Linked DNA regions of Cricetulus griseus. Each later gene encodes a partner of the first gene's protein in a complex. Links are inferred from orthologs where the notes say so. Each region holds a gene or a part of one and is shown on either strand. Other genes may lie near its edges.

The links.
Region 2: Iqcg (region 1) and Efcab2 share a complex: the UniProt entries of both Homo sapiens proteins name them as parts of the nexin-dynein regulatory complex. The link is inferred for Cricetulus griseus from reciprocal best matches to the Homo sapiens genes DRC9 and DRC8.

Annotation. Positions count from the first base shown.
Region 1 is NC_048597.1:56,503,564-56,507,075, forward strand, and holds part of Iqcg (dynein regulatory complex protein 9), read left to right. Parts: intron 1-2,002; coding exon 2,003-2,160; intron 2,161-3,512. UniProt on the Homo sapiens protein: Component of the nexin-dynein regulatory complex (N-DRC), a key regulator of ciliary/flagellar motility which maintains the alignment and integrity of the distal axoneme and regulates microtubule sliding in motile axonemes.
Region 2 is NC_048598.1:15,756,267-15,760,543, forward strand, and holds the start of Efcab2 (dynein regulatory complex protein 8), read right to left. Parts: upstream 2,811-4,277; coding exon 2,780-2,810; coding exon of another isoform or gene 2,403-2,779; exon of another isoform or gene 1,892-2,402; intron 1-1,891. Other genes in the region: protein SOGA3, read left to right, coding at 2,403-2,987. UniProt on the Homo sapiens protein: Component of the nexin-dynein regulatory complex (N-DRC), a key regulator of ciliary/flagellar motility which maintains the alignment and integrity of the distal axoneme and regulates microtubule sliding in motile axonemes.

The DNA.
Region 1 (3,512 bases):
CCCAGCTATGATAGTGATATTTCACATACAAGATTTTCTGGCATAATAGGAGCCCTTCTTGTGATTTTTTCCCCTTAAAACAATTCACTTTTATTTTGAATTGTGTGTGTGTGTGTGTGTGTGTGTGTGTATTCTCTCATAGGTGAGATCTGAACTTATATATACGCTCACCCAGGACAGGAGAGTAGAGGGGACCACAATGAGGGAGAAGGGAGTTTGAGGTCTGGGGACAAGAGAGTAGGGTCAGTAGACAAAGAATATTACCACATTTTCTCCTACATTTCCATTCCCCCTCCTTGTATAGTTTCTAAAACATTAGCTGTTTATTTTGCCAATGAGAAAACAGCAGCACAGAAATTTTAGATAAAAAACAGATAAATTTTAGTAAAAAACAGAGCCAGGATTGAGACACTGAAGCTGGCTTTACAGTCCAAAAGTGTCGTTACTGTCAGTAGCCCAAGCATTTAGCCACAGGTTAAGAATCAATTGGGAGACAAATGATGTCTTGTGGTTCCTCAGTACTTGAATTTAGGTCTGAAAAATATTTTGGCTTTTCTTATATAGCCCTCAGGATCTGAAATACATTACTAAATTTGGTACCAATTTTCACTTTTTAGTACAATTCTCCTTTTATTTTGTATAGTTTTATATTGTTTTGTATTATTGTAGTATTATTTGTATTTGTATTATTGTATTATTATTTGTATTTGTATTATTTGTATTTGTATTATTGTAGTTTTATATTGTTTTATATTTGTTTATATTGTATAGTTTTATATTGTTTTGTTGTCTGTCTCACTGTGTTGCCCAGTGAGTTCTCTCGTGACTCCACTCAGCCTTCCTTACCCATGACCACAGGTCCATGCCACTACGCTGTCTGTGTATATTGTGTTTTGCCTGCATGTGTCCCTACACGCCAGCAGAGGGCACAAGATCTCATTACAGTTGGTTGTGAGCCACCATGTGGTTGCCGGGAATTGAACTCAGGAACTCCAGCCCCGGGATGATCATGTTTATTACCAACCTTATTCCATGGAGAATTTGAGATGAAAGAAAATGAAGATATAGGGATTAGCTCAGAATCTGACATGCCCAGGCACAAAGCCTGGGTGTTCCATCCCCAATACAGAAAGAAAAAAGTAAATAAATAAATAAATAAATAAATAAATAAATAAATAAATTAAATGGTGTGAAGTGGACTGATGCCTCTAAGACACTGTCTCTCCTCTCATAAAAACCAAGATCTCATCTTGCTATTTTATACTTACAATATGGCAAATTTACAGATCACTGTGGGTTTTTGTTGATTTGTTATTTTACTGTTCATTTTTGGATTGTTGCTTTGTAGTTTTGAGCAGGGTCAACCTTAGCCAAAGCTGGCCTGAAACTTAATATCCTGCCAGGTGACCCAGAAATCCTGACTTCTGCCCTCCACCTCCCAGGTGCCAGGATCGCAAGCCAGAACCATCAGACTCTTGCTCTTTTACCCTTTGTGATGCTGGGGTTGGGTCCAGGGCCTTCCACATGTTAAGGATGTATTCTATCATGGGCCTACCCCCTCAGCCCCAAGCTTCACCTTTGCTCTTTGTCTTATAGTTCACCAGGCATTAAGTTAGGGGATGACAGAATGTGTGGAGGCAGGAAGACAAGAAACAGTGGGATATATGTTTTGATGGGGCTGAAGAAAGGTCTGTTTTCTTGGAGTATGGAATGTAAGTGGAGAAAAAGGTTGAAAAATACACAGCAGTCCTCTTAAAGTGTTGTCTCTTTAAAACAATTATCTCTAAAGACTTTCTTTTTAAGATTTATTTAGTTTGTATGTGTACGAATGTTTTGTTTGAGTCTATGTCTGTGCACCATGCACACCCACCGAGGTCTGAAGAGGGTGTGTGGGTCCCCTGGAACTGGAGTTACAGATGGTTGTGAGCCCCCACATGGGTCTTCTGCAAGAATAAGTACTCTTAACCCCTAAAACAGTATCTTTAACACCATTTATTTTCAGAAAGCAAGCCACGAAAAACCATCTGCGGTCTCAAGTACAAGGAAATTATCTCTTCCTTTGTCAGAAATGAAACAACGAGGCCAGGACTTAATCTTAAAGAAGCCTACCAGGCAGACCATCATAAACCTGGAGACACTGAAGAAAATTCAGAATGATAGGTAAGAAGAAGGGAAGGTAATCATACCAGCCAGCAGGTGTGAAAGAGGACACCTGCTTCTGTGAAGGTCCCAAAAGTGGAGTGGCACAGTTTAAAACATGGCCAGCCTGGTCTACAGAGCAAGTTCCAGGACAACCAGGGCTACACAGAGAAACCCTGCCTTGATAAACTAAAACAAGCTGGGCAGTGATGGCACATGACTTTGATCCCAACACTCTGGAGGCAGAGGCAGGTGGATCTCTGTGAGTTCGAGGCCAGCCTGGTCTACAAAGTGAGTTCCAGGACTGGCTCCATAGTTACTGAGAAACCCTGCCTTGAAAAAAATCAAAACAAAACAAAAAAACAAAAACCCAAAACAAGCTGGCTGGTGGTGGCGCATGCCTTTAGTTCCAGCACTCGGGAGGCAGAGGCAGGCAGATCTCTGTGAGTTCAAGAACAGCCTGGTCTACAAGAGCTAGTTCCAGGACAGCCTCCAAAGCCACAGAGAAACCCTGTCTGGAAAAACCAAAACCAAAACAAAACAAAAAACCCCCCAAAAACAAATAAAAAAAAAGCAAAACAAACAAGCAGCCCCCCCCCCAAATAACCCATGGTGCTGTATTATCTTGAACAAGTTAACGAGCTTTTGTTCTCCCTTTCCTCTTACTCTCCCTACCTCTTTCTTCCCCCTTTTCTTTTTCTTTTTCTCCCATTCTCCCTCTCTCCCTACCTCTCTTCTTTCTTTTCTTGCTTCGCGTTCTTTCTTTTTCAGTCTCTAGTCCCAAGTGGTCTGAACTCACTGTGTAAACCAGGCAGGCCTAAAATTTCTGGGCCTCTTGCTTTCTACTGAGTTCTGGGCTTACAGATCTGCACCACCACATCCTATTTTAGTTTGTAACTTTCTTTCTTTCTTTCTTTCTTTCTTCTTCTTCTTCTTCTTCCTTTTTCTTCTTCTTCCTTCTCCTCCTCCTCCTCTTCCTCCTCCTCCTCCTCCTTCCTTCCTTCCTTCTCCTTCTTTTTTTTTTTTTCCAGACAGGGTTTCTCTTTGTAGCTCAGGCGGTCCTGGAACTCGCTCTGGAGACCAGGCTGGCTTTGAACTCACAGAGATCTATCTATCTGCCTGTTTCTGCTTCCTAAGTGCTGGATTAAAGGTGTGTGCCATCACTGTCTGGCAGAAACTCTCTTCTTAATAGAGCTGTTAACTCTTTTTTGTATGAATTATTATTGATAAGTACAAAATGATAAATATAATTTTTCCAACTCTGTATCAAAACAAATTAAAAAATTAGGTTTAATTGGTGTGTGTGTGTGTGTGTGTGTGTGTGTGTGTATGAGTGTATGAGTTTTGCCTGCATATATGTATGTGAACTATGT
Region 2 (4,277 bases), on another chromosome or scaffold:
GCTACAGAGAAGCATAACTACATCAACACATACATAACCACATAGAAAGGTTTTTCCAAGCAATTTTTCCCTCCCTCCCCCCTCCCCAGACAGGGTTTCTCTGTATTGCTTTGGAGGCTTTCCTGGAACTCATTCTGTAGACCAGGATGGCCTTGAACTCACAGAGATCTGACTGCCTCTGCCTCCTACAGGCCTTTAGTCTCTGCTGGGACTAAAGGTGTGCACCACCAACGCCCATTTTAGCAATTCTTCATCTTAATTATCCACTTTACTGGACAGAGACACAGCACACCTCTCAATGTGTCTCAGGGCTTTCCCAGGGACAACTGGATCTTGAGGGCACTAACCTAATCCATTTATAGATTCAAAACTTTGAACAGAACTATAAAAGGTAAGGTCTCTTGAATGAAAAAGGATGCTGGGGTGTGTCCTGGGGGGGGGGTGTCTTATCTTGGCCCTGGCTCCTTCCTATTGCTCCTCTTGGCATGTTTTCCAGCTGTTATGTTTCTAATCTCCCTTACTGATGAGGCCATAGAGAGGGCAAAGCCAATGCCTTCCTCATCTTCTTAGTCACTTAAGTTCTGACTTCACCTAAGGCTAAAGTTAACCTGCAAGCCCCACTTGCCCAAGGACAGAACACTTCCTGGAATGCTGGGGGCTGTTGTCCTTGTAAGATAACAAGTCACATATTTTCACTTCAATAAACAAGGTTGGTTGCCCCATCTGCACAGGATGTGTTTGATCAGAGAGAGGCTGGAGATTTACCTAGGCAGGAAATAGGACAGGGTGTATGTTTGCCCCCATTGGCCAAAGGTGGAAAGTACAGTGGCCTTGTGGGTTTGGCCTTTATAGGCACCTGACTGACCTGATTTCAGCACCATTTCTCTGGGAATCCTGAATACAGACCTGGCTAGTCTCCACCTTCCTGGTCAGTATTTAATAGAGCTTGCTTCAGTTGGACAATCACAGGTTTGGTCTTCTCAAAATTCTCCAGTTTAATACTAACTTTCCATCAAACAAGCATTAAATATACAAGAACTTTAATATATATGAAATTCAGCTTTCAACAGCCACTACTTAACTTGTACAGTTGCAGACAGAACTGTTTCTTCCTCTAAATGTATTTTAAGCTGAAAAATATGCTTTGTTAACTAAAGAATCAGGAATTCATTCTCTTTCTCTCTCTCTCTCTCTCTCTCTCTCTCTCTCTCTCTCTCTCTCTCTCTCTCTCTCTCTCTCTCCCTCCTTCCCTCCCTCCCTCTCTCTAGGGCTAAAAATCAGACTGGGCATACTCCTTTAATCACATCACTGAGTTCTACAAACCAATCAGGGGCACAAGGTAAATAAAAGAATATATTTTCTTGCATTGTAAAAACTGGCAGTATATGCCAATGCTCCCCTAAGCAAGTCTTTTTTAAAAAATGTAATTTATCTCCTAATAGTTCTTTTTCCCTTTTATTTTCTTTGGGGGGGGGGTAAATAAGAATCTAATTAAATAAAAGGGAAAGCTTTTTTATGTGAAAATTTTTTTCATATATTATTTTGGTCATATTCTTTCACCTCCCTGATCCTCCCTACCCCCCTACTCAACAACTATCATATTCTTAAAAAAAAAAAAAAAAAAAAAAAGTACATGGACATTTTTCTTAAGAGTGTTCCTTTCACTTCTAAAGCAGTAACACAAAACCTTAATACCTTAATAGGGTTAAACCTGTACTACAATCCCGGCTTCTGAGATTAATTTTATCATGTATAAATCTCAATTTCCAGTTATCAATAAACAGATCTCTGGCAGTCTCACAGTTTCCCTGCTGCTTTTCTGCGGTCACCATGACGATGGACTAAACACCTCATGTAAATATTAGTTAACTACTTTGTTCCAAACTGAGAGTGGAGGAGGGTCGATATGGTGCGTTGTGAAAACTCAAAAAAACTGCAACAAAGATGGAGCGTGACCTTCCCTCCACGAATATTTGCCCTTTACTATCTTAGGGCTTGCTTTATGTATTTATTTACTGATTTATGGAGCGGTGATTTCGGTCAATTGTGGTGTAATTGCTGTTGGGTCACTGGACGCTAACCACGGACCCGATTTTAAGTCACGCTGCTGGGTTAGAAGCCAACTCAAAGGGTCTAGCAGTTCAACGCGGATCGTCGCTTTTCGGGGTCCCCGGAGGCCTCGCGGGTCACTGCAGCCGCCTCGGTCGGTCCCCAGCACGCGCGGGGAACCCGGCGGGTCCGGGCGGCCCCGACGGGTCCCCGGCTGGGTTTTCCTTTCCGTTCTTATTATAAAGCGGTTATTTGGGCATCTCTTCCTTTAAGCGAGGTTCTGGCGACACCCGGGCGAGCACGGCCCGGTGTGACCTCGAGGCCTCGCTCTGCCGCCTGGCGGAGGAGGCAACATGGAGGCGGCCGGCGCCTGGGGCCGGGCCGGGCGTGGCTACGGCGCGACCGCAGAGGCTCCCGCCCGGTTCCGGCGCCGGCTCGCGTCCGCCGTGAGGCCGGCCTCCGGGTCCCCACAGTCCCGGGCGCGGCGGGCGTGGAGGCCCCGGGAACAAGGACGCCATTATGAAGGTCCCCTGCGGCTGCCACGGCCGCAGCCCGCGCGGACCTCAGCCGGGGGATGGGAGGGCGCGGCGGGCGGGGCGGAGGGGCCGCGGGGCGGAGCCGACGGCGGGGACGCGGGCTGGCGCCGCTCCTCGGCCCCCGTCTGCCCGCCGCGCCGCGCCGCCCCGCGCCGCCGAGGGGCTCAAGATGGAGGCCCCGGCAGCGTTCCTACCTGTGCCTTCCCGTTCCTTCTCCTCCGCCATCTTGGTGCGGAGCCCGTCGCCTGGGAGATGCCCATCACAAGCCCTGCGGGGCGCGCGAGCCCGGCCTGCGGGAGGGAGCCCCTCGGCGCGCGGGGGTCCTCCCGCTTCCGCCCGGGGCCCGCTCCGCTCCCCCAGCCCAGCCCCGGGGTCTTGCGGCCTAGGGGAGTCGTTTATTAATAAAGTTCCGGAGCCCGCCTTGGCCTGTTTGTGACCGTCCTGAGAGTTCAAGCGCTGCGCGCTCCCCCTCGGGGGACGGGGCTGCCTCGTTTGTGTGCTTATTTGTTTATTTACTTATTTATTTATTTACTTATTTGCGGTTTCTGCTGCTTCGGTTTGGTTTTGTATTGTTTTTGCGCAGAGCTCGCGTGCAGAGCGCGGCTTCTCCCCGGCCCATTCACAACCGTAAGGCCGCTCGCCCGCTGCCCTCCCTCCCGCTCGCCCGCCAGCCAGGCCCGGTGCGTCCCCTGGGTCGCCCTCTAAGCGGAGCCACTGCGCAGCCCAGGGAAACTGGAGCGAAAACGGACGTGGGCCGCTGCCGGAGGAAGCCAGCAGGCCTCTCTCCGGGATCGCGAGAGAGGGCTCGCTGTAGGAAAACACGTGCAAAATAGGCGCAAAACACTGCGTCGTCAAGGCTGCAATGTCTGGTACAAAATAGTGTTCTCATAGCAACGAATAAATTGCCGGTCTGTTCTCAGTATTACACACATTGATAGGTTGATGGTGCAGTTTGGCGTGACCTTCCAGGGAGAGTTTTGAATCCTATGTTCCTGAGGAACTTGGCTGTAGTGTTTTGTTATTTTATGGGTAAGCTTGATATATTTGGATGTTTTCTTTTTAAAAAAAAAAGTATTAAAATGTCTTTAACAATGTGGCTCAGATGAATAACTAGTTTTAATCCTTAATGATATTTCAGGGCATGTGTACTCATTTAAAAATTTATTATAAAAATAACAACTAAATGTTAAGGCTTTTAAAATGCAAGATATTAGTATTTAAATTTGGGGAGGGGGAAGGGAGGTTCGAGACGGGCTTTCTCTCAGTGTGGCTTTGGAGGCTGTCCTGGAACTAGCTTTTGTAGACCAGGCTGATCTCGAACTCAACAGAGATCAGCCTGCCTCTGCTCCTGAGTGCTGGGATTAAAGGCATGCACACCGCCAGGCTGTATTTAATTTTGTGTTACTGGTTTTTCTTAACTGAACTTCTGTAAACAGAGTGCAATGAACCTTCAAAGCAGGCCAAGCAAGTGTGGGGAGAAAGAGAACCGGCCATTCCTGATTGCAGAGGATCCTAAATGTTGCCTGCTCCCTAAGTCTTTCTCCACCTCTTCCTCAGTGGTTCCATAGTTCCACAAGCTCTTGGAATGGTTTATAGTGCTTTTATTTATTTGTTTCTACCACATAAGTTTCTAGCGAATAAAGTTGTGTTATACAATGGGACATTCTGTCTGGAAATTGTCTTGTATGTCTG